Linked DNA regions of Cricetulus griseus. The protein of the gene in region 3 purifies or fractionates together with the protein of the main gene of each other region. This does not show direct contact. Links are inferred from orthologs where the notes say so. Each region holds a gene or a part of one and is shown on either strand. Other genes may lie near its edges.

Region 1 (4,112 bases), on a different chromosome or scaffold from region 3:
CCTTGGGCTACCTCAGCAAGCAGAGCAAACACCCTTTGAATTGCCTGCCTCTCCTGACCCCTTGCCACTAACTGGCTTGTGGTTATCAGCCAGGTGGTGGTGGCGCACGCCTTTAATCACAGCACTCGGGAAGCAGAGGCAGGCGGATCTTTTTGAGTTCGAGACCAACCTAGTCTTATGAGAGTTAGTTCCAGGCAAGCCTCCAAAACCACAGAAAAACCTTGTCTTGAGAAACAAAAAACAAAACAAAACAAAAACCAAAATAAAACAAAAAAACCCCTCAGCTTTCAAAAGGAAAAAAGACAGACCACAAAAACAAACAAAAAACTACAATTTTAGAGAGGGACACCAGAAGTGGAAGGAAAAATAGGGCATACAAGCAGTTGGCTCACTTCCTGTGGGGGAGGGGGGCTGCAGCTAATTTCAAAGTTTTCTGTGGTCAAAGAATGTGGTCTTAGATCATCTGTCTATAGGTAGACTAGCAAAGTCCAATTTTTGGTAACAAAAAAGCTCAGGTTTGGACAATGGGAGTTAATGATTCAAGTTTAGTATTGGTATATGTTCTAAGGGCACAGTCAGCAGTACCAGCAATTCTACAGTGCATCCCCTAGTCCATGCTCTCTCCATTTAACTTAGCTATTATTCTTAAATCTCAAGACTGGAGCCCTATAGGAAGAATAGCAAAGAAAAAACAGCAGTACTTACATTAACAAAATCTCCACCCTGAATCATGAAATCCTTTATGACCCTGAAACAGAGTAAAAACAAAACAAACAAAAAATTCCCGAGGGAAGGATTCAGTGGTTTGGTCACCAACATAGCAGCTTAGTAATTTTTTCTGAAGTACAATGTTTATCACCGTGGCTTAGAGACTGAGTCTTCACCCCTGGAGTTGAGCAAGATGAGGGATTACGAACCATAACTTGTTTTAAGCTCCAGGGGCATCTTTGTGTTGATCTAAGGTATATGAGTGAGCACCTGAACAACAGAAAAGGGCTGAAACCTGTCAGGAAGAAATAACATATTTACAAAAAAAAAAAAAAAAAAAAAAAAAAAAAAAAGTCAAGGGCTTAATGAAAATCTGGGGGGAAAGAAAGAACAACAGCAAATATATGTGAAATGGACTGCCACACACACACAGGGTAATGTAAGCTGTTATATACCCAGGCATAGTCCTTTCTTAGCCCCAGTTTCCTTCCTTAAAGAAGGCAGATTACACATACTACCTCACAAGGATGCTGGGAAGGATTAAAGACCATAATTCTAAAGCCCCTGATATGGATGACACAAAAATTTCAGGATTAAAGTGGAACAACTTCTGTCAAACCCTAACAAAAATTGGTAAACACAGAAAGCAAGGCATTCAAGAAGGTCAGGTTCCTGCAGATGACTGCCTGATAATAGTAATTATTACCAAAGCCTCTACCTGGAACCAGGGGGATGGTTCAGTGGGTAAAGTCCTTGTTAATGAGGCATGAGGACCTGAGTTCAGATCCCTAGAACCCACATAAAAGCTGGGTATAGAAGCCTATGGAACTGCACCTGCACCCAACTGATAGTGTTTTCCTTGCCATCATTTCTACATCTAGGATGACTTACGGTGCCTGTGGTGCTGAGTATTGAACCCAGGGTCTCAGGTATGCTGGGAAAATTCTCTACCACCAAGCTACATCCTCAGCCCTGGACATGACACTTTAAACAACAAACCTAATCTACCATAGGTGTACTCAGGTGTTCAGGATTGCCTGCACAGATACCAAGTGATGACTGCATTAACAGTTTGCCAAAAGCCTTACCTATGGAAGGTGCTTCCTTTGTATCCTATTGGAACACCATCTTTTCTGTAACCAAAAAGAAAGACTTGGAGTGATGACAAATAACCATGGGTCCTTTCCGTTTGGGACACACTGGAGGCTAAAAGGACTCTCAGAAAGATTTGGATAGAAGCAAGCTAAAGAACGCATCGATAAAGAAGACACCCTCTGAATATCATCTTCCACCACTCAAGACTTGCCCATGGTTCCCCAATACCCTCACCAAACCTCCAGGACACCCTTCAGGAGTAGGAGGAATAGAGGTCAAACACATCTGAGACTGACCTGAACTCTCCAGTGCAGAATTGCCTAAAAGGAAAGAAACAATGAACAGTTACCATGCCATCGCTGCCCGGAGCATCTCTAATATCGGGAGATGAGGGTACAAACAGTGGGGCCAGCAAGTCCACTAACTGGTCGGCCGGATGTCAGGGCATGCAGCCATGTAAACTAATATCACAAATTGACACAGGAACGGTCAAACCCGGTAGCTATTCGGCCAGTGCAATAATACACAGAGCACAGAGCACAAGGCAGTGGACGGATGGACAGAGGCAGACATTGCAAAGAGCGCCCCGAGGCCGGCTTCGGGCTCAGCCACGCTGATTCAGTGGAGCATCTCCTCACCTGAAGTTCTCTGCCGTCTTAGGCACCACGTCTGCAAACAGCTCGATCTTCATGCGACCAACCTCCTGCAAGTGACGGGAGACGCAAGAAGGCTCAGTCCACGACCGCAGCCCACGCAGCTCGGAAGCGCCCACCTCGGCCGCCCTGGCCCAGCCAGTCTCGGCTGCCTCCCTCACCCGTGTCCTGCCCAGCCGCGCAGGTCCGCCGGGCCTCCCGCACCTCACCTGGCCGCCGATGCTGACATCAAAGAAGACCACCGGATTGACTGGACTTGAATTTGCCACCGCCATGGCTCTGACCCGGAAGTAGAAGTCCAGTTTCCGGGGACCGGCCTTGCTGAATTCAGCCAAAGCACAGGGGCCGTGGAAACCGACCGGGGTTGGGCCCCGCCCCCGGAAGCGCGGCGCGGACCGCCGGGAAGGCGGACACTGGTGTTGTAGAGCGGGTCGGTTCTGAGGGAAGGCGGGGATGAGGGGAGAAGGCGCAGAAGCGAGGGAGTGCAGGCATCTTCGCCGAAGGCGGCGGGCTCCCTACTCGCGTGACTGTACTAGTGCAGTACAAATGAGTGACCGGCAGACAGCATTTGCTGAGCCGTCACACTGGGTGTCCCCTGCCCCCGAGGCGGCACCCACGAGGGGAGAACCCTCAGAATCACCCTCCGTGTTGTAAAATGTTACGTAGGCTGGCTCATTCGGGATCCTGGAAATGTGATTTCATTTCTGTCGCAAGCTTCCAACTCATTTCCCACAGAGTTGCAGTTTAAGAAACAACCTTTGTGCTTGTAAATCGTGTGTGGGGGATTTGCATATTTAACGTAAATCCAGCTGTGTATACGAAGGCCCGAATGCCATTTATTTGCCACCGCTGGTAGCGAAGACCTGAAAGTAGAGACCTCACACTACCTAGCCTCATCTCCTGCCTACCACTCTTTACCCTTTCTGGCTCGGTTGTGGAGACGTTAGATTGCTACGTCCTTTAAGGCCTTGATTCGAGTTTTGTCTCTTCTAAAATATTTTTTTTTCACCTTAAATGTTTTTGAGACAGTCTTGCTGCTTATCAAGGGCTGGCTTTGAGCTCAACGATATTCCTACCTCAGCGTCCCAAATGCTGGGATTACCTACATGGTTTGCCATATCCTTTTGGAACTGGCGTTGAACAGATGGTTCAGGAGGATCAGGGCATCCCAGCACCCATGCGACAAACTGGGTATCCTGCATGTTATTCTTTTGTTTAAAAAGAAGAAAAGAGAAATATTGAGACAGACATATTGACTATAAGTTTATTATAAGGCCCGGTAGAATGGGGAGACTAAGAAGAGGAACAGGGTAATGGCTGACCGCCATGGCCGGTCGCCATAGAGAGAGAGAGCGGGGAAACAGAGAAACGGGGAGAGAGAGACAGACAGAGCGTAAAGGTGCAGGGGCCTATCTTTTAAAGGGGTCCTCTGCACCTGCGTGCAGACTTCTTTCCCATGGAACCTTGGGCTGACCAGGGTATTGCCTGAGTGGATTCCACCAGGTAATGGGCAGGCCAGCATAATGCCTGACCCTTTCATTCCCACCTCTACTTATTATTAAAAAAGCTGTAATCTCAGCTTCAAGGAGGGTGGAGACAGGATGTTCACGGGCTAGCTGAGAAAATGTGAACCCCCAGGTTCAGGGGAGAGCCTCT
Region 2 (3,500 bases), on a different chromosome or scaffold from region 3:
TTCTGCAGCACCACACCTGCCTGCTGCCATGCTCCCTGCTACCAAGCCATGATGACCACGATAATAGCTTTTGCCTCTAAAAGTGTCAGCAAGCCCCAGGTTGGGTTGGTTAAGTGCTTTCTTCCAGAAGAGTTACCTTGACCATGGTGTCTCTTCACAGTGTAGAACGGTGACTAAGACAATTTTGCACCTTCATTCGTTTGCTGGTTTGAGACAGTATTCTGTAGCTCAGGACCTCAAATTCAAAGCAATCCTCCTGCCTCAGCCTTCTAAACACTGGGATTACTGGTCTAAGCCACTTCGTCTGGAAGGCTACAGGATCATTTATGTGTATGTGTGTGTATGGGGGCAGGTTACTGTAGGGAGACACCGTAACCACGCCCTTCAGGATGTGGTCAAGGTGATGTCAGGGTGGTTTTAAAGGGACAGACAAGGCACATGGGAGCTCTCTCGCCTTGCTGCTTTGGCACCCTCTGGCTTGCTGTTGGTTGGCGTTTATCTATTAAAAGTTATCCTAACCTTCTGGATTCAGTATCAGTTATTCACCGCTTTAGGTTATTTTTATATGTGTGTGTGCATGAAAGCAGAGGACACTTATGGGACTAGCTCTCTCCACCTTCGTGTGGGTTAAGAGGATCACACTCAGGCTGTCAGGCTTGGGTGGCAAGGACTTTTCCCTGCTGGGCCATCTTTCTGGCCCAGGTCATAGAATCTTTAAGGAGAGGGCAAAGATAAGATGAGGTCATACGGATCCCGATTCTATCTGACTGGCATCCTTGTGAGGAAGGGAGATGAGGCTGCAGATACAGCAGCATGGCTGCATGAAAATACAGAAGGCATGCCCGAGCCAAGCAGAGGCTGAGGGAGAAACCAACCCCAAAAGCACCTTGGTCTCAGACTTGTCAACTCTGAAACAGCACCCTCGGGAGTGTAAGTGTCCTGGCCTGTAGTCCTCAAGACCACAGCTAAGGGACCAAAGGTGGTGGCTTCCCCACATTCCCTTTGTGAGCGAGCATTCCCTGCAAGGAAGGACTCCGGCTACCGGAGCTTCTGGGAGGAGGAACTTAGCACATGACAGGATTGCTGCCCTATCCAGTAGGAAAGCCCGAGGGTCAGGAGCTGACTTTACTACTCTGTGGATGCCCCAGGGTCCAAAATGGACCCATTGGCGGGAGGAGGCTCCTTCTTCAGCCAGCTGTACTCAGAAGGGGCTGCTACACTTTTATCATTTGCTATGCCAAGCTGGCTGACTTCAGTCTCCAGATGACAGTGTAATAGAGCCCCTAATGTCAAGCCCCACTTCCCCAGGACAACCCCAGACCATGGGACCCAGCTGGGAACTCACCCATGATCTTGGCAGCTGTGGATGCCCCAATGATGATGGACAGGTTGGGTGCGATGAACGACATCCGGGACTCCACGTACTCGTAGATGCGGTGCTTGGAAGCATTCAGCTCCAGGGCCATGTCACAGGCCTCCTCCAGGCGCTCCAGCTCCTCATCCGACAGCTGCTGCCTGAGTTGGGAAGCAGGGAAGGGTTGGGGCCGGCGCCCAGTTCTGCTGCGCGCTTGTCTAACGGGTGTCCAGCCCCACCCATCCTCTCGGTTCTGTATGCGTGTGTGTCTGTGTAACTCTGGGGCTACCCCAACTTCTATCAGCCTAGGGACCACAGCTCTCAGCCAGCACCACCCTCACCATCAACCCCATTCTGCCCTTTCTGGTCTCTGCTGCCAGCTGGCCTATGGTAGGCTTGCAGCGCCTTACCGCGTGGTATACGTACCCCTGGGTGGTGGATGCGGTGACACTGACGACCATGATGGTAGCATTGGTCAGGATTTGCTGGAGGTTCTCATTGTTCTTGCACTTGTCCAGGCTGTTGCCCAGCTCCTGGGGTGGGAAGGGGAGAAAGAGAGAGACCGTAGTAACTCCCAGAAGATTCTAGAAGCTCTTTTGCTTCAACACGAACACAGGGCTCCCTTGAGGAACCCGGGAAAGCTAATACTGGAGACCTCTCTTGCCTCTTACAGGTTGACAACTTCACTGCTGAAAGCATCAGCACTGCCTGCTCTGCTGACCCAGAAGTGGAAGCTGGGCAAAGTGGCCTTCAAGGACGACACGCTGCACTAAAGAAGCCTGCGGGAGCTCACGACTAGAGACGGACTTCCTCGGCTCCCACCCTGACCTCCTGGACAGAGGCAGGACCCCTGCTCTTTCCCCTCTGCCTGCTCCTGTCATTGCTCCCAGGGGAGCCCAAACCTTCTGTGTGTGATGTGCTCTGACCTTTCTGACCTGTCAAGCTCCCCTCCCTGCCTCTTCTCACTTCCTCCTCATTTGTTCCCACTCAGGATCTCAGCTCTTATCTCGCTGCGGCCTCTGCCAGCCTTCAGAGGCTAGTTCAAAGGACACCTGACCCAATGACAGCCAGAGGCAAGGGCCAGGCCAATGGGGATCCTCCCACAAGCTAAGGGGAGGAGAGAAGCCAGAGGTGTGTGTGAGACACCCTGTCCGGCACCTGTCCCTTCCCACTGAGCCCCGGCTCACGCCTCTCCATCGTTTTCTAGATCCCGAGGCTTCACGCTGCTTCCGGGACCAGACTCCTCCCCACTCACCTTGACTGTGCGGATGTAATCCAGAGCGTTGGGAACCAAGGATTCTAGCTCCGGGAATCTCTTCGAGTACTTATCCCGGATGAACTTATGGATAATGTCTAAAGTGGACAGGGAGGGTGGGTGTCCGCTGAGGGAGGGGGAGGCAGACTCTGCTGCTATCCCCAACACCCACTTCCGCCTCTCTAGTGAACAAGCCCAAATCTTGGGTTGGTGCATGGATGCCAGCATGAAATCTACATTTCCTAGCTGTCCCCAGGGCTATGTGCAGGCATGAAGTCTGTTCTAATGTCTACAAGATGTGAACTCAATTGGCATTTTCCACATCCAGACCATGGCCTTAAGGAAGCAGCCATGCCCTGTCTTCCCTCCCCATTTGCTGGTAGGGACGTGAAATGAGGCAATCACCCTGGAGCATGAAACCAGTGGCAGAGTCTGGTGGCTGAAGGGGTCAAAGGGTGACTCTAGACCTGCTCTGTTTACTTAGACTTTCAGGAAGGAGAATACACTTTCTCTTCATGTAAATCAGTCTGTTACAGAAGGTAAACCTGGTCAGGGCAGTAGTCGAAGAAAGGCAAACAGAAGAGGTCCAGGTTCATGCCTATTCTTCCCTTTGCGTCATAAAGAGGGAAGGGCACACAACAGGGCTGTCCCCATCACTCACTCAGCTCGTTTTCTATCTCCACGGTCAGGTTGTTGGCATCCACAATGACTCGGTACTCGGGGGCTGCCTCCACTGGTCCCATCACTAGGAAGGGGAAGAAGGAATGTGGATGAGAGAGGGCACCCACCCGTCTGTAAGTCACAGAGCTAGGGAAGACTGGAGCTGAAGCTGGCTGGATCAGAAAGGAGGGGCTGAAGCATGCACTAGGGACTTGGAAACCTCCCCAGCAT
Region 3 (3,500 bases):
CAAATTTGTCCTGTCGTGGGCAGTTCTGAGGAAGAAGTCCTGGTGGCTCTCATCTGGGGTTATCTGCTCTTGCCAACGCTGAATTACTTGAAGATGATTTCTGAGAGTGTCAAGCATCCAGATTAACGAGTGTGATTTTCCTCACTCCAGTTGCAAGCAGAGGCCCCAAGGCTGGCAGAATACCAAGCGTACATCGATTTTGAGATGAAAATTGGAGATCCTGCTCGTATTCAGTTGATCTTCGAGCGCGCCTTGGTGGAGAACTGCCTGGTCCCAGACTTATGGATCCGCTACAGTCGGTACCTAGTAAGATTGTGCCTCAGTTCTGTGTCTGCCAAGCTAGACGTGAAAGAGATGGTTAAAGTGAAGCCTCCCGTACACACCACTGCTGGCTTTCAGCGGCAGTCACAGCCTGTGTGGCTGGCTTCGTTGTATCTCTACTGTCCCATCCCTGTTGTTCTTCACTGCTGCCTCAGCGTGTACATGAAATGTCCTTCTGTGTGAAAGGGCCCGGGTGAAGCTCATCCATCAGGGTTGTGTCTGTGGGACAGTTTGGACTGCCACCTCCCCCGCTCTGCCTATCTTGCATTCCTCTGGTGATTTCTTCCTTGAAGAAGTCAGGCCATGGCATTCTTTTATGTATGTTTTTGTCTCCATTTCTTTTGAGACAGGTCTCAAATGTGTGAATCTCCTGCTTTAGACTTGTAGTTGGCCCCACCCTACCCCAGGCGTAGAGGGGGCGGCTTCCCAGCTCCCAAATAAATACACAGAGACTTATTCTTACGTGTAAATGCCCAGCCTTAGCTTGGCTTGTTTTTAGCCACCTTTTCTAACTTAAATTATCCTGTTTCTCTTTAAGTTTTGCCTCTGGCCTTTTTTTATTTTTATTTTTTTTTTACCTTTCTTTACTCTATATGTCTTTCCCTCCTTCTTACTCCATGGCTGGCTGGGTGGCTGGCTTTTGGCATCCTCGCCTCCTCCTTTTCTCAATCCTCCCTCTTCTCTTCAAGCCTAGATTTCTCCTGCCTGCCAACTCTGCCTATTTTTCTCTGTCACCTGCCTTTTGGCCATTCAGCTTTTTATTAGACCAATCAGGTGTTTTAGACAGGCACAGTAACACAGCTTCACAGAGTTAAACAAATGCAACATAAAAGAATGCAATGCAACTTTGTATCATTGAACAAATATTCCACAGCATAAATGAATGTAACACATCTCACATCTTAAACTATATTCCACAGCATAGCCTCCTGAGTGCTGGGATGACAGGGCATACCTTGTGCATTCTTAGCTTTACAAGAGATGTTTCAAAGGAATCTCTTCCATCAGTTGGCTGTTCTGGGAGTGTCTCACTTTTCTCATCCACCACCAAGTACTTGACAGAGGCAGCTTAAGGGATGAGGCTGAGGGGATGCAGCCCTTGATGGTGTGGGGCTGTGGTGATGACGGTGTGGGGATGTGGTGATATGCTTCTGGCAGCAGCGATTTCAGTCAGGGATTGGAGAGTGGGGTACAGGGTAGGAGTGGGGTTGAGTTATAATCCTCAAGGCTCTCACCTCTCACTGACCCACTTGCTCAGGTAGAGCCTACCTCCCCAAAGTTTCACAACCTCCCAAAACAGTGCCAACAGCAGCTGGTACCAGGTGTTGGAACCTGAGCCTGTGCAGGGTGTTTCAGTCTCTACCACTGAGGAAGTCGTACAATTCTGTCCTCTCACTCTGGGATTCTTTGTCACAGGATCGGCAGCTGAAAGTAAAGGATTTGGTTTTATCTGTACACAGCCGTGCTGTGAGGAACTGCCCGTGGACAGTTGGCCTGTGGAGTCGGTACCTCTTGGCCATGGAGAGACATGGAGTGGACCATCAAATGATATCTGGTGTGAATGTTTGTGTGGGAGAATTTCTGAATTATTTTTTGGAATGTTCTTTCTATGCAGCTCGCTGTGGAGCCTAGGCTTGCTGGGATGACAGGCATGAGCCATCATGCCTGGCAGCTCTAGCCTTTTGTCCCAAGTGAGGAACAGAGCTGTAACAGTCTTGAGCCAGTACCCCAGGGCCTGCCTTGTAGTGGCAAAGGCTATATGGCTTCTTAGCACTTTAGCTTCTAATACTCAGTGAATTTCTTAGAAGTCACGAACTGTCTTGTCCAACTGGGACTCTCACTATGGAAGAAGAGTTCCTCCTAGAGCACAGGGCTGGAGGGGTGTACCCTGCAAACACTGCTTCTATTCTTTTCCTTCCTTGATGTGTGATGCTGGGATAGACATCTACAGCTTGTGCGTTTATAAGTGCATAAACCACATATTTATGGGTTTTGATGGCTTTATTTCTTTTTGAATTGTCTGGTGAATATTGTGTTTTTTCCATTGCAGCAACCTTTGAGAATGCTCTGAGTGCTGGCTTTATCCAGGCCACTGATTATGTGGAGATTTGGCAGGTGTACCTAGATTACCTAAGGAGAAGGGTTGACTTCAGACAAGGTAGAGTGTGAGCCTCATCAGAACTGGACTTAGTCATCATGTCCCCCCACCTCCCTGTGTGTGCATGTGTGTGTGTGTGTGTGTGTGTGTGTGTGTGTGCGCGCGCGCGCGCGCCTACGCACAAGCACATGTGTGTTCTCGAAGGTACATGTGTGAAGGTCAGAGATGAGCCTTGGGTTCTGTTCCTTGGGAGTCATCCACTGATTTTTGGGACAGGGTGTGTCATGGGTTGACGCTAAGCTTTAGCTTGGCTGGTTTGTCAGTGAGTACCAGGGATCTGCTTGTTTCCACCTTCCTAGCAGTGGGGCATGTCGCCTCACTGGCTTTTTACTTGGGTGCTGGGAATCATGTCCTCAGGCTGGCATGGCAAGCACCTTATGATTGTATCATCCTCCCCCATCCTCCAGCTGCCATTCTTTTTCTGAGCACATCCTTGGAGATATGTCCCTGTTCTTTAAGCACGCTGAGATTGGGAAAGGGTTGGTGAATGACCTGCCCTTAGAACATTTTTTGTGGAAACTAGCAATTTCCAACTGAATTCACACTGTGGTGTGGAAAGGATGACAGCTCTTGTGCTTGTGCTAGTTCCTGGTAGCCACGGTAACCTCTCATTTTCTGTGTCTGACCTGTTATAAGCCCTGTTTCAGTTTCTTTTCTGTTACTGTGATGAATGTTCTGACAAACACTCAGGGGAGAAGGCACAGGCCAGCAAGTTGGGCATTCAGGGTTGAGGAGCTTAGAGCAGCCACCACAGGACTTTGAGAGAAGAGAGTAGAGTAGATGCTGTGTGTGCCCTGTCCATCACACAGCCCAGGACCCCAGTTGGGACCACGCCACCCACAGTGGGATGGCCTTCCACCTCAATGAATGTAGCCGAGTTTACCCATCACAGGCAGGTCCAGGGGCCCTTTTTCCTGCTGATTCTAGGTTCTGTGGAGTTGACACTGACCACCACAAGCCCCAGATCTTTTTTCCAACAAGACTGCCATACTCTTTTTTTTTTTTTTTTTAGATACTTATT
Region 4 (3,500 bases), on a different chromosome or scaffold from region 3:
GCACTCAGGAGGCTGGGTCAGAACCTGAGTTTGAGGGCAGCCTGGGCTTGGTGGCAAGATCTTGTCTCAAAAACCCAAAACAAGGGCTGGAGGGATAATTAAGAGGTTAAGAGTGAGTATGGCTCTTCCAAGGACTAGTGTGGTTCCTAGCACGTATATATATGGTTGCTCAAAACTACCTGTAATTCAAGCCCCAAGGGATTTGACACCCTCTTCTGACCTTTATGGTCATCTGTGTGTATACACATACATAAATAAAAATTTTAAATGAATCTTTAAAAAAATCCATAAACAAAAGAAAACATATTAAAGACAAAAACAAGCTGATCATGGTGGTACACACTTGTAACCCTAGCACTCAGAGAATCACAGTCCAAGACAGGCAGAGCTAGCTATATAGTAAGACCCTATCTCAGAACAAACCAACCAAAAACCCAAAAGAGGCAAAAGAAAGTCAGACAGAGAAATGGGCTACATTGGGGAACTGAGATAAGATCATATATAAAAAGACCATGACTATACTGTAACCACAAAATAAGTACTTAGCAGAAAAGGGAGTATTTCTAACTCTTTCACACATCCCACTCATGGAGCCAGTAACCACATACAACAAATGTGGACTATATGGCAGTTAGTTTCAGGCATCTTATCTACAAGTATATTAAATAGAAATCTTTATTAATGAACAAGACTAAGGTCCACAGTCAGGAAGCAGTGGAGATATGATGAATCAACTTACTAGACTTTAAGTAGACCAAGATTCTTAGATCAATCAATTTATAGGTAGTAGGTAAAGAGGGAATGGTGAAAATAAAATGTATGAATAAAGAAAGGACAAGCTATCAATTACTTCCTTGGACTATTTTAAATGAACCTTTTTGAGAAAGGTTCAGGGTGATGGAGATAATATAAATCCTACCCTTCTACTTTAATGTCTGAGGCTCCCTCTTGAACACTGGGTGTTCTATTTTGTTGTTGTTTTTAACTCTATTTGTTGCAGTACTGGGATTGAGCCCAGAACCTCATGCATGCTGGACAAGCACTAAGCTCTCTATTACTGAATTTTAACCGTAGCCCTCACACTAGGTGTTCTAATAGTAGATGTCAAAGTGTAAGCAGGTATGCCAGCACATTTCTTATTCCAAACACTCCTGAGCTTATTATTATATAGTGACCGTAACCTACCTTTAGTTCTCGTTTTCTGCTTCTGTCACTGCTAGACTTGGAATGTCTAGAGCTTCGACCTTCCTCCACAGCCTCAAACAGCTTATCCACAAATCGGAGAGTAGAATCATCAAGAAAAGGTTTCAGGTGATCTGACAGGAAAAAAGAAGCCACAGATTGAAGAGGTAAAAGTATACAGTTCAATACCAAACATGTAATAAACAACAGACTAGAATAAAAGGGAAAAAGGTTTTACTCTTCATTTCTTTAAGGTATTGTTATTTTATTTATTTATTTATTTATTTATTTATTTATTTATTTGGTTTTTCGAGACAGGGTTTCTCTATGTAGCTTTGGAGCCTATCAGGCACTCACTCTGGAGACCAGGCTGGCCTCGAACTCAAACAGATCCACCTGCCTCTGCCTCCTGAGTGCTGGGATTAAAGGCATGAGCCACCAACAGCCGGCTGTAATTTTATGTTTTGACTATTCATGTCACTACATGCTGCACGCCCAAGGAGGACAGTAGACAGCACTGGAATTAAGACAGCTGTGAGCTGACATGTAGGTGTTGGGAATTGAACCTGGGTCTGCCACAAAAGCAGACAGTGCTCTTAACCGCTGGGCCATCTCTCTAGCTCATGTAAAAAAACATTTTAAGAACTTCTTTGTAGAGGACTAGAGAAATGGTTAAGAGCACATACTGCTATTGCAGAGGGCCCAAGTTTGTTATGCAGAATCCACAATGAGATGCTGACAACTGCCTATGACCTGGGGGGCGGGGGGATCTAATGCCTCTGAGGGCACCTTCCCTCACACACACATAAATTTATCTTCCCTCACATACCCCTCCCCCAAATTTAAAATTGTAGTGGCTCAAGAGGTGTTTTATCAATTAAAAGCACTGGCTGCTTTTCCAGGAACCTAAGTTTGATTCCTAGTACCCACATGGAAGCTCACAACTGTATGCTGCAACTCCAGTTTTAGGGGACTGAACTCTTTCTAGCTAGCTGCACACTTCTGGGGTGTATACATAAATGTAAATGAAACACACACATAAAAAGTAAAATAAAAGCCGGGCATTGGTGGGCATTGGTGGCTCAAGCCTTTAACCCCAGCACTTGAGAGGCAGAGGCTGAGGCAGGCGGATCTCTGGGAATTCAAGACCAGCCTGGTCTACAAGAGCTAGTTCCAGGACAGCCTCCAAAGCCACAGAGAAGGCCTATCTCAAAAAACCAAAAATAAATAAATAAAATAAAATAGCTTCAGACACATTATGTCTTTAGTTCTAGTACTCAGGAGACAGAGGCCAATTAGAGCTAAATAGTGAAATCCTGTCTTCATAACTAAGTAAATAGTTTTCTTCTCGGAATTCCCAATTCCTGATATACTTAATGACCCTGCTATATGAGGTAAAAGGTTCTAATTTTTTTTGGAGCACAAAGTAGTAGAGCCAGATAAATCTGCTTAAATTAAAATTCAAAGTTTAAGATGAGGGCTGGGAAAGTAGCTCTTTGGAAGAGTACTTTGCTTGATAGGCACAAAGGCTTGGGTCCCCAGCACCCTAAAAGATAAATATCACATCATTTAAACTTTTCATACACAACAAATCAAAGGCAACTACCAGCAAACCCACCTCCCTGTACCTTTTCATGCATCTTATTAGACTTCCACACTCTAAGGCATCAATCGGATCAGGCTATTTGACTGAACAGTGCTTCCTAAGCAAACTTGATTTAGGTGACTTGGGATGGTGGCCAAAGACTGATTTATTAACGTGCCACAAATAATAAAGAGAGAGAGAAAAATTGGTTATTTAAGCTCTTCCCATTATAACAGAGGGAAAATAAGGAGAGAGGGTATGGCTCAGTTGGTACAATGCTTGTCTAGATTCTGGTTTCCTCCATCTCCAGGACTGCAAAAGTCAGGTGTGATACATGCTTATAATCCCAGGATTCCGGATGTAGAGTAGTGGTCCTCAACCTTCCTTTAATACAGGTCCTCATGTTGTGGTGACTCTAACCATAAAATTATTTCATTGCTACTTCATAAGTGCAATTTTGCTACTGTTACGAATTATAATGTGCAGGACACAGCTGTTATGTGTCCCCTGTGGGGTCAAAACCCACAGGTTGAGAACCACTGATGTAGAGGAAAGAGAATCATAAATCTTAGGCCATCCTCCCCTACATACTGATTTGGAAGCCAGGCTGGGCACCACTGAACCCTGTCTTATAAACAAATAAACAAACAAATAAATAAATAAGGAGTAAGGAGGGTAGTACACACCTTTAACCCCAACACTCAGGAGGCAGAGGAATGTGGATCTCTAGGAG
Region 5 (4,144 bases), on a different chromosome or scaffold from region 3:
AACAAGGTTAGAGGAATAAATTACAAACTCCTGGGCATATAAACAACAGTTAGAAGTCACTGAGCAGAATAAGATTAATTCATTCAGCAAATAATTATTGAGCCTTTATGCTAAGCAGTGATCTAAGCAAATAAAACACTATACTCTAGTGGAGCTTACATTCTAATGGGGTAATAAAATAACTTAAGAATATAGACAGTAATCATCTCTTATCCCAGTCTATAGGTCTGAAAATATTAAATGGAAAATTCTAGAACTAAGCATTTAATGTTCTAAGTCATGCACCATTGTGACTAGCATGAGGAAATACCATATTTTTGCCCTAACCACAAATCTTCCCTTTGTGTAGGTTTCCACACTGCATACGCTACCCTCTCGGTAGCTAGAGGGATCATCAGATCAACTGACCTGCGTTGCAGTGTTTGTGTTCAGGTGGTCCTTGTTTTGTTAATAGTCCTAAAGCACTTAATTAGTGATGCCGGCAATTCAAAGGTACCCAAATATGCTTTCTTTAAGTGGAAAAGCACAAGTTCACTGAAGTATACATATGTAGAAAAAATACAGCATATTCAGGGTTTGGTACTGTGACTCGGAGAAGGTACTGGGAGTCTTGGAAGGTAACCCCTCCAACAATGAGGGGACTACCGCTTAGCATGTCAGATAGCAATCAATATTAAAGACAAAAAATGGGAAGGACTCGTTTCTTATCTATCTATCTATCTATCTATCTATCTATCTATCTATCTATCTATCTATCTACCTACCTACCTATCTATAAAGAGAAAGGACGATCAGGGAAGTCCTCACCAGGACAGTGTTATTTCAGTCTAAACATGAAGAGGAAAGGGCGAGACAAAAGCAAATGCAAAGGTACAGATGAAAGAACATTTCAAGCCTTAGGGGAAAATCAGTAAGAGTGAGTTCTGTGAGTGAGTTCACGAGAGCGCTGGGTTCAAGAACTGGAGTAGGGGAGGGGTTCCGGGGAGAGAAACACGCCACCCTCGCGGAGACTAAGTTGGGAAGGTGTGTGTCCAACGAGGATCCAATGCTTTCAAGGGCGTTCAGTTTGATGTTTATTACCAAATATGATGGTGTACGCCCGCGTCGGTACTAAGGATGCTATAGGTAGGAGGATCGGAGCTTAAGACCAGCCTGGGCGACACAGTCTCTAAAACAAAACAAAACGAGAGGGAGAGCTCGATAAAATTAAAACGAAGAAAAAAAAAAAAAACCAAAACCACACACACCAAAAAAATCAAAACAAAAACAAAACCCCAAACAAACCGGCCGCAGTCAACACCTTTCCACGCCCTAAACTGCTACCAGGGCCCGGAACTCCGGGGCGGAGGCCGAGCCGGAAGTAGCCTCACGAGGGGCGGCACTTTGCGGGCTGCATTTCCGTTAGCGGCGGCGGGAATCGCGCTGCTGGCTGGCGACTAGGCCTCTGTGGAAGCGAATCCGGCGGGCATCTGAGACATCGGAGCCGCCACCATGGTAAGAAGGCGCGGGCTGGCCGCGGGGCGCTCAGGGGTGCGGAGTGGGGCGGTGGCTGGCGGCGGCCGTGGGTTGAAGCCGCCCGTGGCCGACAAGGTCGGGGTCGAAGCCGCTTAATCCGGGCGCCAAAGGCCTGGACTTGCGGAGCGGCTGGGCCCGGGTGGAGGGGAAGGCTGCACCGGGGACCGAGGCCGCCGTGCGTGGCCCGGCGCCTCTGCGGTTACAGTTCCGCGGCCTCGGTAGCTGGAAACGTGTGCCGGGTCGCTGTGTGCCCGGGCTCCCGGAGCGGACGCGAGCCTCCGGCCGACCGGGGGACACCGGGCCGGACGGAGGAGAGGCGGAGGGAGCGGGAGGGTGGAGGAGAGTGTTTGCATGCAGAGCGCGACCCTGCTACGCGTATTTTTATGTTGGGGTATGTCAGGCGCTGGGGCTGCACCCTGAAATAAGTTGTGCGTTGGTTCAGTTTCTGGCTCTGTGCAGGGCTAATGTGATTCTCTATGGCAGTTCGGCTTTAGGCAAAAAAGTAACGGCAGGGGGAGGGGCGGGACGGGTCCAGAGCAGACGCCCAAGTGATTGTTTAGGAGCGCCCCGCTCCCCTGTACGAGGGAGGGTTAGAAATCTGGAGAACCGAGAGGGCCCAGTAGAAGGCAACGAATTGTCAGGAACCTGGTTGCTGAAGTCCCTGCATCTTGTTTTCCCTCTTGGTAGTAAGACATCGCTGGAAGAGTTTTCACAGGCTTCATGGACTTAGGTTTAGAAAGGTCAGCCGGGAAAAGTGGCCAGTGCTCGAAATTTGTAATTTCTGTGCATAGTAGGCAGAGGAGCTTGAATTTTGAAGCCAGTTTTGGCTACAGAGCAAATGTAACAAATGCCTCGAATGTCTCCAAAAATATTAGTCTAGTTAAGTAGCTGAAGAAACCCGAGGTAGCGAAAATAGGTTATTGTTTTTGAGAGTTGACTGAGACAAGTCCTTACTTAACCTTCAGCTTGGGTCGTCTATTTGGTCAGTAAAAAGGAATGACAGTGGACCCAGTTTTGAGGATTAAAGGAGATAAATCCTTTTCAAGGGCCTAGCCATACATAGCTATTAAATATTAGCTATTGGACCGATATACGCCGATCCTAGTAACAGAGCTCTTTGAGATGATTATTTAAGCAGAAAAAAATACAAAATCTGGTTTTCAGGTTAGGGCTGGGTAATGCTCACAGGGGTGAACAGCGTTCCTGGTACAGAGAAGACAACTTGGGTAGTTAAAAGTGACATAATGCCAGTTATAGTTGTGGGTAACTGATACGTTTCTGAGAGAGACTACCACAGATACCTCTGTTCACCTAGGGGTGTGTATAAGCGCCTTTATTTTTGCAAAGTTACATTGGGAACCAGGATAGAGAATGTTGTTTGCCTTAATTAAAAATTAGACTATTATATTATATATATATATTAGACTATTAAGTATCCAAACTAATTAGCACTCTGGCCCAGAAAAGTTGCCCAAGTTACCCTACTCCTGTTCTTGCTTCAGAGCTGGTTTCACTTTCTGGTAATAAGCTTTTCCTTAATTAAGTGAATCCACTTAGTGCCTGTTGAATTCCAGTTCTTAGTTTAGATGGATTTAGTTGTTCGTAGAACTGAGTCTATATAGTGGTGGATGGCTTAATGCCCACTAGGTCTAGTATGGGTGGATTTGATTAGTTTGTGAACACTTTAACTCTCCTGAGACAGATACAACATAGACAAAGTTGTAGTCCCAGGGAGATTGCCTGTTTTAAGGGCAGGGAAAATAGCACATTAATGGGCAGAAATCAAGGCTAAAGCTGGTTGATAAGAGTCTCAGAAAAGGACCTTGTTTGGAAGATGTCAGGAAATTGTTGAGAAGGTTGGGAATAGAAAAGTAGGCTGTGGTGGAAGATGGGGGCGGGGAGCAGAAGTGTGTGAGCGAGTCCTCCCTGCTCCCTCTTTGCAGACTGTGGGTAAGAGCAGAAGTGTGTGAGTGAGTCCTCCCTGCTCCCTCCTTGCAGACTGTGGGTAAGAGCAGAAGTGTGTGAGTGAGTCCTCACTGCTCCCTGCTCTCTCCTTGCAGACTGTGGGTAAGAGCAGCAAGATGCTGCAGCACATTGACTACAGGATGAGGTGCATCCTGCAAGATGGCCGGATCTTCATCGGGACCTTCAAAGCTTTTGACAAGCATATGAATTTGATCCTCTGTGACTGTGATGAATTCAGGAAGATCAAGTAAGGAGAGGGCTGTTGGGAGGGAGAAGGAACTGGGATGGACTGGATGGATGGGCGGGCCAAGAGTGGGATGGCCATTCAGCTAGGTGCTCTTGTTTGCTCACTTGCTTTTGAAGGGAGAAACTTAAAGGGGAATGTTAGCTGCTAAGGAATCTCTTCCTTAATCCAGAAAACCTTGCTCTCCAATTCTAGCAAAGTAGAAGTTGGTGAGGAGGGCTGCTAGGCTTTTAATTTTTCTGAGTTTGCATGCCCCTGGGTACTGGGGTAAAGGGCTCTCATGTTCTCCCCACAGGTGTGTGAGGGGGGAGAGCTTGATTTTCTGGCCTCATTACCTATTTGTAAAGCTGTAGCCTAAAGGGCTCTCCTATTGCAGCCTGGTCTGAAACTGCTTTAAGAAGCCTCTGACCCTCTTCAGGG
Region 6 (4,024 bases), on a different chromosome or scaffold from region 3:
TAAATATGTCTGAAGTGTAAATCCAATTAATCTTAATCAATAAAACCCAGGAGCCAGATAGTGGGGTAAAAGCTGGAAGATCAGAGAACTAGCAGTCCCCTTCCTCTGTCCAAAAGGGCTCAGATCTTGTCTCTACTCCACCTTATTACAGCCTGTCTCCACCTCCTGAGTGGTGTGTAGACAGGATCAGCTCAAGCTATGCAACCTAGGATGCTCCCTGTCCTTGTGACCTTCCTGCCTTCAGGACATGAGTGCTAGGATGACAGGTGTGTGCCATCATGCCAGGCAAGTACTCATCACTAAACTTTACCTTTCTGTGCTAATCTAATTGCTTATGACAAATATGCATAACTTTATTTTTAAAATATAAAACTCTTAAGCTGGGCATGGTGGCTCCCATCTGTTATTCAGTACAAGGAGGGCACAGTAGAAAGACTGCCACAACTTCTAGGCCAGCTTGAGCTATAGTGGAGATCTTGTCTCAAAAACCAAAATTAATCAATACATTTCTTGACGGTAATATAAAGAGACAAACCTCAACAGTATACAAGGGAAAAAATGTAGGCTATAAAACAATTTACACATCATGGTACCATTTATAGAAGAAATACATCCAATTCACAATATAGATTTTCTACCTCATAGAGACACATGTTGATTTTTTAAAATCTTTTAAAATTACTGTCCCTTCATACTAAAAAACATTATTTTAATCTAGGTTTGAAAAAAAAATATAACTAGAAAGCTGGGCAATGGTGGTGCACGCCTTTAATCCCAGCATTCAGGAGCAGTCCAGGGCTACACAGAGAAACCCTGTCTTGAAAGGTAAAGACACAAAGAAACAAACTAGAAAAGTAAAGGAGAGAATACTATAAACAGCTTGAGTCATGCATCAATGCCAGAACTACTCTACATCTCCCAAAGACAAATACAACTGATGAATCAAAACACCCACTGAAGTTTTCAAAGATCATCAGTAACTTGTATCAGGAACTGTATGAAATATAAGAAAAACACGCTCTGGATAATGCCAAGAAGCGAAAGCCAAAGACTCCATGGTAAGAACAGAAGAGTACGGATGTGTGCATGAGCAGATGTGGAAGTCAATGTTTCCTCAACATTGGGATTACCACCACATTCAGTTTTAAAAAATTTAATTATGTACTTTATATATGATGCTCTATCTGCATGTATGCCTGCATGTCAGAAGGCATCAAACCCTTTATAGATGGTTATGAGCTGCCATGTAGTTGCTGGGAATTGAACTCAGGACCTCTGGAAGAGCAGCTAGTGCTCTAAACCACTGAGCCATCTCTCCAGCCCCTTTTTGTTATTTTGCCTTGTTTTTTTCAGAGATGAGGACTAACCCTTGTGCTTGCTGGGCAAGTGCTCAACCACTGAGCTAAAGCTCCAACCCCTCAGCCCTGTCCCCCAAACAAAACATGGTTCCAGGGAATCAATCTCAAGCCCTAATGGTTGCACAGCAAACCTTTTGTCACCTGAAGTAGACCCCCAGGCCAAGAATCGAAGGTTTTGACCCTATAAATCTTAATGTTACTTGGTCTGGGAAGGTGTTCATCTGAAAATTGGATCATTAAAGGTGCAGGGCAGTGTAGACGTGGTTCTAGTACCCGGGAGGAGGCAGAAGGCAGTTCAAAGGCAACTGACTAGCCAAATGTGTGGTTCAGTGGTGGAACACTTGCCTAGCATGCAAAAAAACCCTGTGTTGGAGTCCCTGGCAGTTAAAAAAAAAAAAAAAAAGTAAAGATGATTCACAATTTGGGTCTTACCGGAGGTTATATTAATATTTCCAGCTTCAATGCCTGCTTTGAGTCCTTCTTTTCCCAAAATCCCAGACTCTCCTTTGGCCAGACGTTCCCTCTCTTTCTCTTCCAAGCTTCCATAATAGATGTGTGGTTTCTTCACAACAGGAGCAACTAAATCATCAGGTGCTTTAGTTTTAGTTGCCTGTTAAATCAAAGACCCTGGTTAAGGTCCTAGTAAACCATGCTTCCCAAACGAATGAAACTAACGCTTTCATTTTATTTTCTCCAAAAGCTAAAGGACAAGGTGGGTATCCGTCAAGATTGATTTTGTGCGAGTTTAGACTCTCGTTAAGTTTGGCAGACAAATACAACGAATCAATTTCTGTTTGAAGTATCTGGTTTGCTTTGGGGCCCTTTTACTTTATTTTATTTGAAATGCAATCTCCGGTTTTACAAAAATAACTGCCCATCACTGGACAAATACCAAGAATAACCTAAACAATCAGGGTGGCTTTCGGTGCACCACGTTACTGGAATACACATTTCAAATACTTCCAGAGCGGATTAGAAGTTGGGAGGCCTCATCGTTAAGTCCCGAGTCATACAGTTTAAGTCAAGACATGTCTCCACTTCTAAGCACCGTGTTTTGGAGCAGTTAGAGACAGTGTTCACCGCTCGGGGCTGAAGTGAGAGTGGTGCAAAAAGAGCTGTAGCACACGAAAGCGTTTAGAAGTCAGGAAAAGGCTGCTCCACACTAGGGTCCCTCAGCCTTCCTCCTCCGCCCTGACCCTCGAGGTAACGGCCCCTTCCCGCGGGGACCCCGCCCTCTCTGGGAGAGGACCGGCCTGAGCTGCGATCCGGAGCCCCGTACCGTGGAAGAGGCTCGTGAGGAGGCCATGCTGGGCTCTGGAGCCTCGAGGCCCTAACCAAATCCGCGCTCTCCTTTTCAGACCGTCCACCGCGCGCCCAGCAAAGTGGAAGTGCGTCACTGGCCGGAAACGTACCAGGAGCGTACTCTGTGCTCTGGTAGTCGCGAAGTATCTTGGTCGTCGTAGTTGCCCAACGTCGGCTGGCGTCGAGGGGCGTGGCCTCATAGAGCGTCTCCACAAGCTCGCGGGAGAAGAGGCGTGTGGGAAGAGAGGCTCAGAGCAGCCTGGGAAGTGTAGTTCGGGCAGGACAGCAATGGCTTCATGGTGGGAGTTGAGGTTCTGGGAAGCTGCAGAGGCCTGAAAAGAGGTAGGTTCGTGGATCTCGACTGTAATCATGAGCGAACCGAGGGTCTCTGCTCTCCTTCGGGAGACCTTCCGTCATCTCGCAGCCGAGGGCTGTGTTGCCATGGAAATCTCTCCCTAGACTAGTGCAGCTTAGGAGCTGGGAAAGCGGACTGTTGTCCACGTCGGCACGGAAGTCTTCCCGGGGGCCCCTCGTAACTGCGTGGCTTCGCAGTGACTTTGGGCTTCAAGAAGACATTAAACTCGAAGAGTCTTCTAGGACTAAAATAAAGACGTGGCGGGGGAGCTGCGGCCTACTTTGTTGTTGGGTTACTTGTCTACAACCGTATTCTTTGTATGTGGTCTTTGAGATAAAGGGGCCAGGGAGGCGCCAGGGAGAGTGCATACCAGCAGCTCTCGCTCCACTGATGCTAGGCCATCGGAGATAAGGTTTTCTTTTTATCCTTACATGAAGATTGTGGGGATTGCCAAAATATTCGTGTTTGCTGAACTGGACAGACTCACTCCCACTCTTAAGCCTCTTCCCCAAACAAATGCAATCATAGGGACACTTTCTCTTCGAATGCTTTGCTTACTAAATGCTAAATTATGCGCAAGGAGCATATTCTATTTTAGTCATTCAAGTCACGAGACAACAGAGTACATAAAATAAATAATTGTGAGAAATGAAGCTAACCCGTCGTTCTGGAGCCATAGTGTAGTAGGATTACTAAAGTAGCGGGTGGAGAGCAGTTCTTTTAACCCGCACTCAATATCGCCCTCTAGTGTTGAGGCTTTCAGTGTGTACACAAGTAGAAAACTTTTCTTCTAATTATTTCTTCCTTTTTCTTTGGAGCTGGATTCCTCTTCCATTTCTTTACTTAGGGATCTGGTAGAAGGTGGTAGCTGATTTAGAATAAAATAATTTGAAATGTCATGGGCCAGTGTTTTGTATTGATTATATCAACCCCTGGTTGTGCTAAGCCTCCTGAGAAAAAGATAAATGTTTCTTCATTTGTATACATCATAGTTTTTTGTCCCATACGA
Region 7 (4,204 bases), on a different chromosome or scaffold from region 3:
TCTGTGTAGCTTTGCAGACCAGGCCTGCCTCTGCCTCCCGAGTGCTGGGATTAAAGGCCTGTGCCACAACTGCCAGTGAGATAATTTTTTTTTTAAGGTAAAACATTAGCAGGAGCAAGGCAAACATGAGTGCTTATGGGTAAAAGTGCATGTCCTTTTATATCATCTGTTCCTATAAAAAGGCAGTCTATAAAGTAATTAAGAAAATAGTGCCAGGCTGGAGAGATGGCCGAGAGGTTAAGAGCACTGGCTGCTCTTACAGAGGTCCTGAATTCAATTCCCAGCAACCACATGGTAGCTCACAATGAGATCTGGTGCCCTCTTTTGGCATGCAGACATACACGCAGGCAGAACACTGTGTACATATAGTCAACTACTTTTCAACATAATAGTGAGGAAAGAGCGGGCTTATAGATAAATGATGCTAGGACAACTGGACAGTCATAAGCAAAACAATGTGGACTTTTATGTCATATCATATACACACAATTGCAGTTGTCTCACCAGTACACAAGAAGTGATTGATAAAGGCTATGAGGATGGTTTGGAGATAGACAGAGGCCACTTTCCTAGCATTCAAAAGTCCCATGTGCAATCCCCTAGAACTGAAGGAAAAAAAAAAAAGGGGGGGGGGAGGGATGGCAGTTAGCAGGCAATAGGTCAAGAGCCTTGGCCAAGCCTTTTTTTTTTTACTATTTTTTTTTTTTATTTAGTATACAGTCTTCTGCCCGCATGCCAACAGGGGGTACCAGATCTCATTCAAGGTGGTTGTGAGCCACCATGTGGTTGCTGGGAATTTAACTCAGGACCTCTGGAAGAGCAGTCAGTGCTCTTAACCGCTGAGCCATCTCTCCAGCCCCCACGAGCCTTGGCCAAGCCTTTAACTCCAGCACTCAAGAGGCAGAGGCAGGTGTATCTCTGTGAATCCCAGGTCAGCCTGGTCTACAGAGCGAGTTCTAGGACAGGTTCCAAAGCAATACAGAGAAACCCTGTCTCGAAAAAAACAAACAAAAAAGACACAATGTTTGGTAAACAAGTCCTCCATAATTAACTCTTGTGAATGGATTAAATCCAAGGTGGCAGAAGCTCCCAAAACTAAGCTATTCCAAGTTCTGAAATGTCTACCAAGGATGAGCCACATTAGGAAACTGCCAAAACAGGCTGCTGGTTTCTCTCTTTTATATAAGGCAAATCCATCTGACAAATTAATCCCAAAGACACTCACTCTACCTTGTCCTTGTCCATGACAACATTGGCCACAGGGCCAAAAGTCTGGAAATACTCCGAAAGCTGAGCAGCACCCACATCCCTGGGAAAGCCACTGACAAACACACTTCGAAGTCCCTGGGCCCTTCTGGTAGCTCGTAGTTGTACAAGATCCCGGTGTTTCCGGCCTTTCAAGTGGGCATCTAGGCTGGGTCCTGTAGAGACAAGTGTGCGTGTGACATAAGCATATAAAGTAACTCTTTGTATACCTGTCCCCTTGCTCTCTTCTCTATACATAGAAACCCTGTTCCTTCAAAGACAAAGGGTAACATTTGGACAGAGTTTGATATTCTTCCCCTTTGTCCACACAGTGCATTCTCTAAGAGATTTCCAAGAGGGAGGGCTGCAGTGCAGGTAGTTCTTAAGCCAATGGTATGTGTTAAGCAGAGCGACATCTGCCCACTGTAGAGGAATTAACAAGCAACTTGTCCAAGGTCATATGTAGAAGTAAATAAATTAGGGCCCTGACTAATCCTCAGAGATAAATAGCAGGTATTCCAAATGTATCCTTTTCCCATATATGATGGAAATGATCTCGCCTACCACATAGGTATCATTCACAAACAGCTCTGGCCATCTGGTATGTAGTAAGTGTGGGAAATTAGCTATTAGTATTATTTTATCATCAGCTGCTTAGTGCCATGAAAGTACAGGGACAAGGCACTGTCCTAAATTCCTGGCTTGCCCTGATGGGGCAGGGGGAGGGGAGAAGGGGAAATGTCATTCACAAAGAAAATACCAGAAGACCCTGTTTAGGGGAGATCACATTCTAGACATCAAAAGTAGGATCTGAGATGTCACTAAGTGTCTTTTGGTGTCACAAAATCTCAGTCTGTCTTTCCAAACCCTTTTCCTCACTGGCACCTTCTGCATTCACTCAGGCCACCATGTTTCACTCATCCTCGCCTCTGGAGAAATCCTCCCCATTGGGAGTCTCCAATTGAACTACTGCCTTCTCTGTGATGCTTCAGCTCTGTAAACATACCCATGGTGTACTGAAACTGTCTCAGTGCAGACAGTGAATTCCTGAATCCCTCCCTTCCTGATTCCAGAGACCAGTAAAGCACCAGGCACAGAGCTGATGTTTTAAAACATGTGATGTTTAAAACATCACAAAGGTGATGTTTTAAAAGGAATAGTGAAAGTTTCACTATGGAGCTTTTGCATTGTGAGAAGAACCGGTGAGAATTTCCCCACTCTCCGAATGCCCTGGGACGTACTGAGTGAAAACAGAGGTGGATGACCCTAGTGCCAGCAAAAACTATAACCTAAATAACTCTTTCACTAGCACCTAAAAAGTGAAAGCCTGCAACCTCCCCCTTCCCTCACTAGCCACCGCTTACGGTTGGCTGTAGTAATGTCGCAGAGACAGCAGCGAAAGCGACCACGAGGCAGCGATACGACATCCGAATCCTCCGCCTCCATAGCGATTCTCCGGTATGGGCCGCCTACAACCTCTCCCGCCACCAGTCACTACCAGAACTCACAGCTCAAAATCGCAATGTGTGGGGAAGCCACTTCCGCCAGTGCTGCAGGAAGTGACGCTTGTGTCCGGCGCCAGCATATTCGTCCAGAAACCGTGTTCTTAGGGTTAAGGGTTCCTATTAAGTCAGTTTTAAGAAAGGCCGCCCACCGACGACGCTTATTGGTCTAGGGTTAACTAGTTGGCATGCTCCGTTCCATTCCAGCGTTGATTGGCCCGAAGAATTGTGAATATTCATTAAGCAGCCACAAAGATGGGCTTGCTTCTTGACAGCACAGCTCTTTCTTTGCCAAGTGGTGGCATGCGATCTGCCTTCACTTCACCCCAGACCTGCACCTCAATCTTTTATTTCACCCTGCGAGTAGAAGCGGAGGGTGGGTGTTTCCAATCCTTTGCCTTGTGGAGCTCAGGTACTCCCACATCCTCAGGTCAGTTCCTTTCTGTACAACTGGATCCTCGACAAAACAGTTTTCAGCGCTGTCCGCCCCCTACTCCCTTTCACTTGGACTCAATGAGACCAACAGCAGATGGCTACTATCCCAGTCAAAGTCTGCTCAGCAGTTGTAGCCTTAATGAAGTATATTAACGAGGCCTATTTCAAGGCAGTACAATGAAGAACAGACTACAGTGCTAAGAGATACACATTTATTCAAGGAGGTGGGAGGGGAAGTGCTACAGATCCCCAGTCAGGCACATGAGTCAGTCTCGTAGGTTCAGGAACAAGAGAGGATATGAGAGCTGACCACAGTGACGATAATGAAATGGAAAGGCTATCAGGTGGGTTCACCAGCTTGTTCTGTGATTATCAGGAAACCAGTCTGTGGCCTTGGCTGAGCCATGAGGCCCTTCTATCTCTAAAGTGCCTAAGGAGAATTGGTTGAACTAACCAACTGTTCTAAGGTGTCCCTCCTATTGTACCCTGCTCAGGTATCTGATCCTTACACCAAACCAAAAAAGCAGATGAAATCAAAACAGAAAACAGTACTACTGCACACTCAACAGTGGGGGTAGGTGCTAACACTAGCTGTACAAATCCAGCAGTCTGTATATATATACCACTAAGCTTGAACTGTAAAGTACTGCAGTACCACACCCACAAACACTAAAGTGAAATGCATCTTTGTTTTCAAGACAGGGCTTCTTTGTGTAGCCCTGGCTCTCCTGGAACTCCTTCTACTGTAGATCAAATTGGCCTTGAATTTAAGAGATCTGCCTGCCTCTGACTCCCAAGTGCTGAGATTAAAGGTATGTGTCAACCACCCCCACCTGGTGAGATGCATCTGACCCTGGCTGCTAGAATGCTTAAATGAAAGTGAAGGGCTGAGGATGTAGGTGGTGGCAATAGTAGAGCACGTGAGTAGCATACGCCAGACCCTGGGATCAATTTCTCAGCACCAAAAAGGAGGGAGAGTAAAAGTGGCTAACAGGAAGACATTCTAACCCCCATCTGTGCAG

What was found.
Region 1: the proteins of squamous cell carcinoma antigen recognized by T-cells 3 (region 3) and Ppih purify together in Homo sapiens (affinity purification with mass spectrometry; 3 studies listed by BioGRID and IntAct, with this or other methods). This does not show direct contact. The link is inferred for Cricetulus griseus from reciprocal best matches to the Homo sapiens genes SART3 and PPIH.
Region 2: the proteins of squamous cell carcinoma antigen recognized by T-cells 3 (region 3) and Prpf31 purify together in Homo sapiens (affinity purification with mass spectrometry; 6 studies listed by BioGRID and IntAct, counting the BioPlex papers as one, with this or other methods). This does not show direct contact. The link is inferred for Cricetulus griseus from reciprocal best matches to the Homo sapiens genes SART3 and PRPF31.
Region 4: the proteins of squamous cell carcinoma antigen recognized by T-cells 3 (region 3) and Prpf3 purify together in Homo sapiens (affinity purification with mass spectrometry; 5 studies listed by BioGRID and IntAct, counting the BioPlex papers as one, with this or other methods). This does not show direct contact. The link is inferred for Cricetulus griseus from reciprocal best matches to the Homo sapiens genes SART3 and PRPF3.
Region 5: the proteins of squamous cell carcinoma antigen recognized by T-cells 3 (region 3) and Snrpb purify together in Homo sapiens (co-immunoprecipitation; 4 studies listed by BioGRID and IntAct, with this or other methods). This does not show direct contact. The link is inferred for Cricetulus griseus from reciprocal best matches to the Homo sapiens genes SART3 and SNRPB.
Region 6: the proteins of squamous cell carcinoma antigen recognized by T-cells 3 (region 3) and Prpf4 purify together in Homo sapiens (affinity purification with mass spectrometry; 5 studies listed by BioGRID and IntAct, counting the BioPlex papers as one, with this or other methods). This does not show direct contact. The link is inferred for Cricetulus griseus from reciprocal best matches to the Homo sapiens genes SART3 and PRPF4.
Region 7: the proteins of squamous cell carcinoma antigen recognized by T-cells 3 (region 3) and Tut1 purify together in Homo sapiens (co-immunoprecipitation; 4 studies listed by BioGRID and IntAct, counting the BioPlex papers as one, with this or other methods). This does not show direct contact. The link is inferred for Cricetulus griseus from reciprocal best matches to the Homo sapiens genes SART3 and TUT1.

Annotation. Positions count from the first base shown.
Region 1 is NC_048595.1:32,848,356-32,852,467, reverse strand, and holds the start of Ppih (peptidyl-prolyl cis-trans isomerase H), read right to left. Parts: upstream 2,801-4,112; 5' UTR 2,732-2,800; coding exon 2,666-2,731; intron 2,507-2,665; coding exon 2,442-2,506; intron 2,124-2,441; coding exon 2,100-2,123; intron 1,842-2,099; coding exon 1,797-1,841; intron 749-1,796; coding exon 706-748; intron 1-705. UniProt on the Homo sapiens protein: PPIase that catalyzes the cis-trans isomerization of proline imidic peptide bonds in oligopeptides and may therefore assist protein folding. Participates in pre-mRNA splicing.
Region 2 is NC_048602.1:21,549,712-21,553,211, reverse strand, and holds part of Prpf31 (U4/U6 small nuclear ribonucleoprotein Prp31), read right to left. Parts: intron 3,355-3,500; coding exon 3,271-3,354; intron 2,708-3,270; coding exon 2,610-2,707; intron 1,888-2,609; coding exon 1,781-1,887; intron 1,516-1,780; coding exon 1,346-1,515; intron 1-1,345. UniProt on the Homo sapiens protein: Involved in pre-mRNA splicing as component of the spliceosome. Required for the assembly of the U4/U5/U6 tri-snRNP complex, one of the building blocks of the spliceosome.
Region 3 is NC_048597.1:93,400,529-93,404,028, reverse strand, and holds part of squamous cell carcinoma antigen recognized by T-cells 3, read left to right. Parts: intron 1-150; coding exon 151-306; intron 307-1,737; coding exon 1,738-1,876; intron 1,877-2,371; coding exon 2,372-2,479; intron 2,480-3,500. UniProt on the Homo sapiens protein: U6 snRNP-binding protein that functions as a recycling factor of the splicing machinery. Promotes the initial reassembly of U4 and U6 snRNPs following their ejection from the spliceosome during its maturation.
Region 4 is NW_023276806.1:60,654,367-60,657,866, reverse strand, and holds part of Prpf3 (U4/U6 small nuclear ribonucleoprotein Prp3), read right to left. Parts: intron 1,318-3,500; exon of another isoform or gene 1,317-1,317; coding exon 1,186-1,316; intron 1-1,185. UniProt on the Homo sapiens protein: Plays a role in pre-mRNA splicing as component of the U4/U6-U5 tri-snRNP complex that is involved in spliceosome assembly, and as component of the precatalytic spliceosome (spliceosome B complex).
Region 5 is NC_048599.1:48,439,467-48,443,610, forward strand, and holds the start of Snrpb (small nuclear ribonucleoprotein-associated proteins B and B'), read left to right. Parts: upstream 1-1,344; 5' UTR 1,345-1,491; coding exon 1,492-1,494; intron 1,495-3,575; coding exon 3,576-3,727; intron 3,728-4,144. UniProt on the Homo sapiens protein: Plays a role in pre-mRNA splicing as a core component of the spliceosomal U1, U2, U4 and U5 small nuclear ribonucleoproteins (snRNPs), the building blocks of the spliceosome.
Region 6 is NC_048595.1:83,460,714-83,464,737, forward strand, and holds the start of Prpf4 (U4/U6 small nuclear ribonucleoprotein Prp4), read right to left. Parts: upstream 2,801-4,024; 5' UTR 2,665-2,800; coding exon 2,638-2,664; intron 1,969-2,637; coding exon 1,791-1,968; intron 1-1,790. UniProt on the Homo sapiens protein: Plays a role in pre-mRNA splicing as component of the U4/U6-U5 tri-snRNP complex that is involved in spliceosome assembly, and as component of the precatalytic spliceosome (spliceosome B complex).
Region 7 is NC_048596.1:51,140,779-51,144,982, forward strand, and holds the start of Tut1 (speckle targeted PIP5K1A-regulated poly(A) polymerase), read right to left. Parts: upstream 2,801-4,204; 5' UTR 2,692-2,800; coding exon 2,610-2,691; intron 1,422-2,609; coding exon 1,231-1,421; intron 1-1,230. UniProt on the Homo sapiens protein: Poly(A) polymerase that creates the 3'-poly(A) tail of specific pre-mRNAs. Localizes to nuclear speckles together with PIP5K1A and mediates polyadenylation of a select set of mRNAs, such as HMOX1.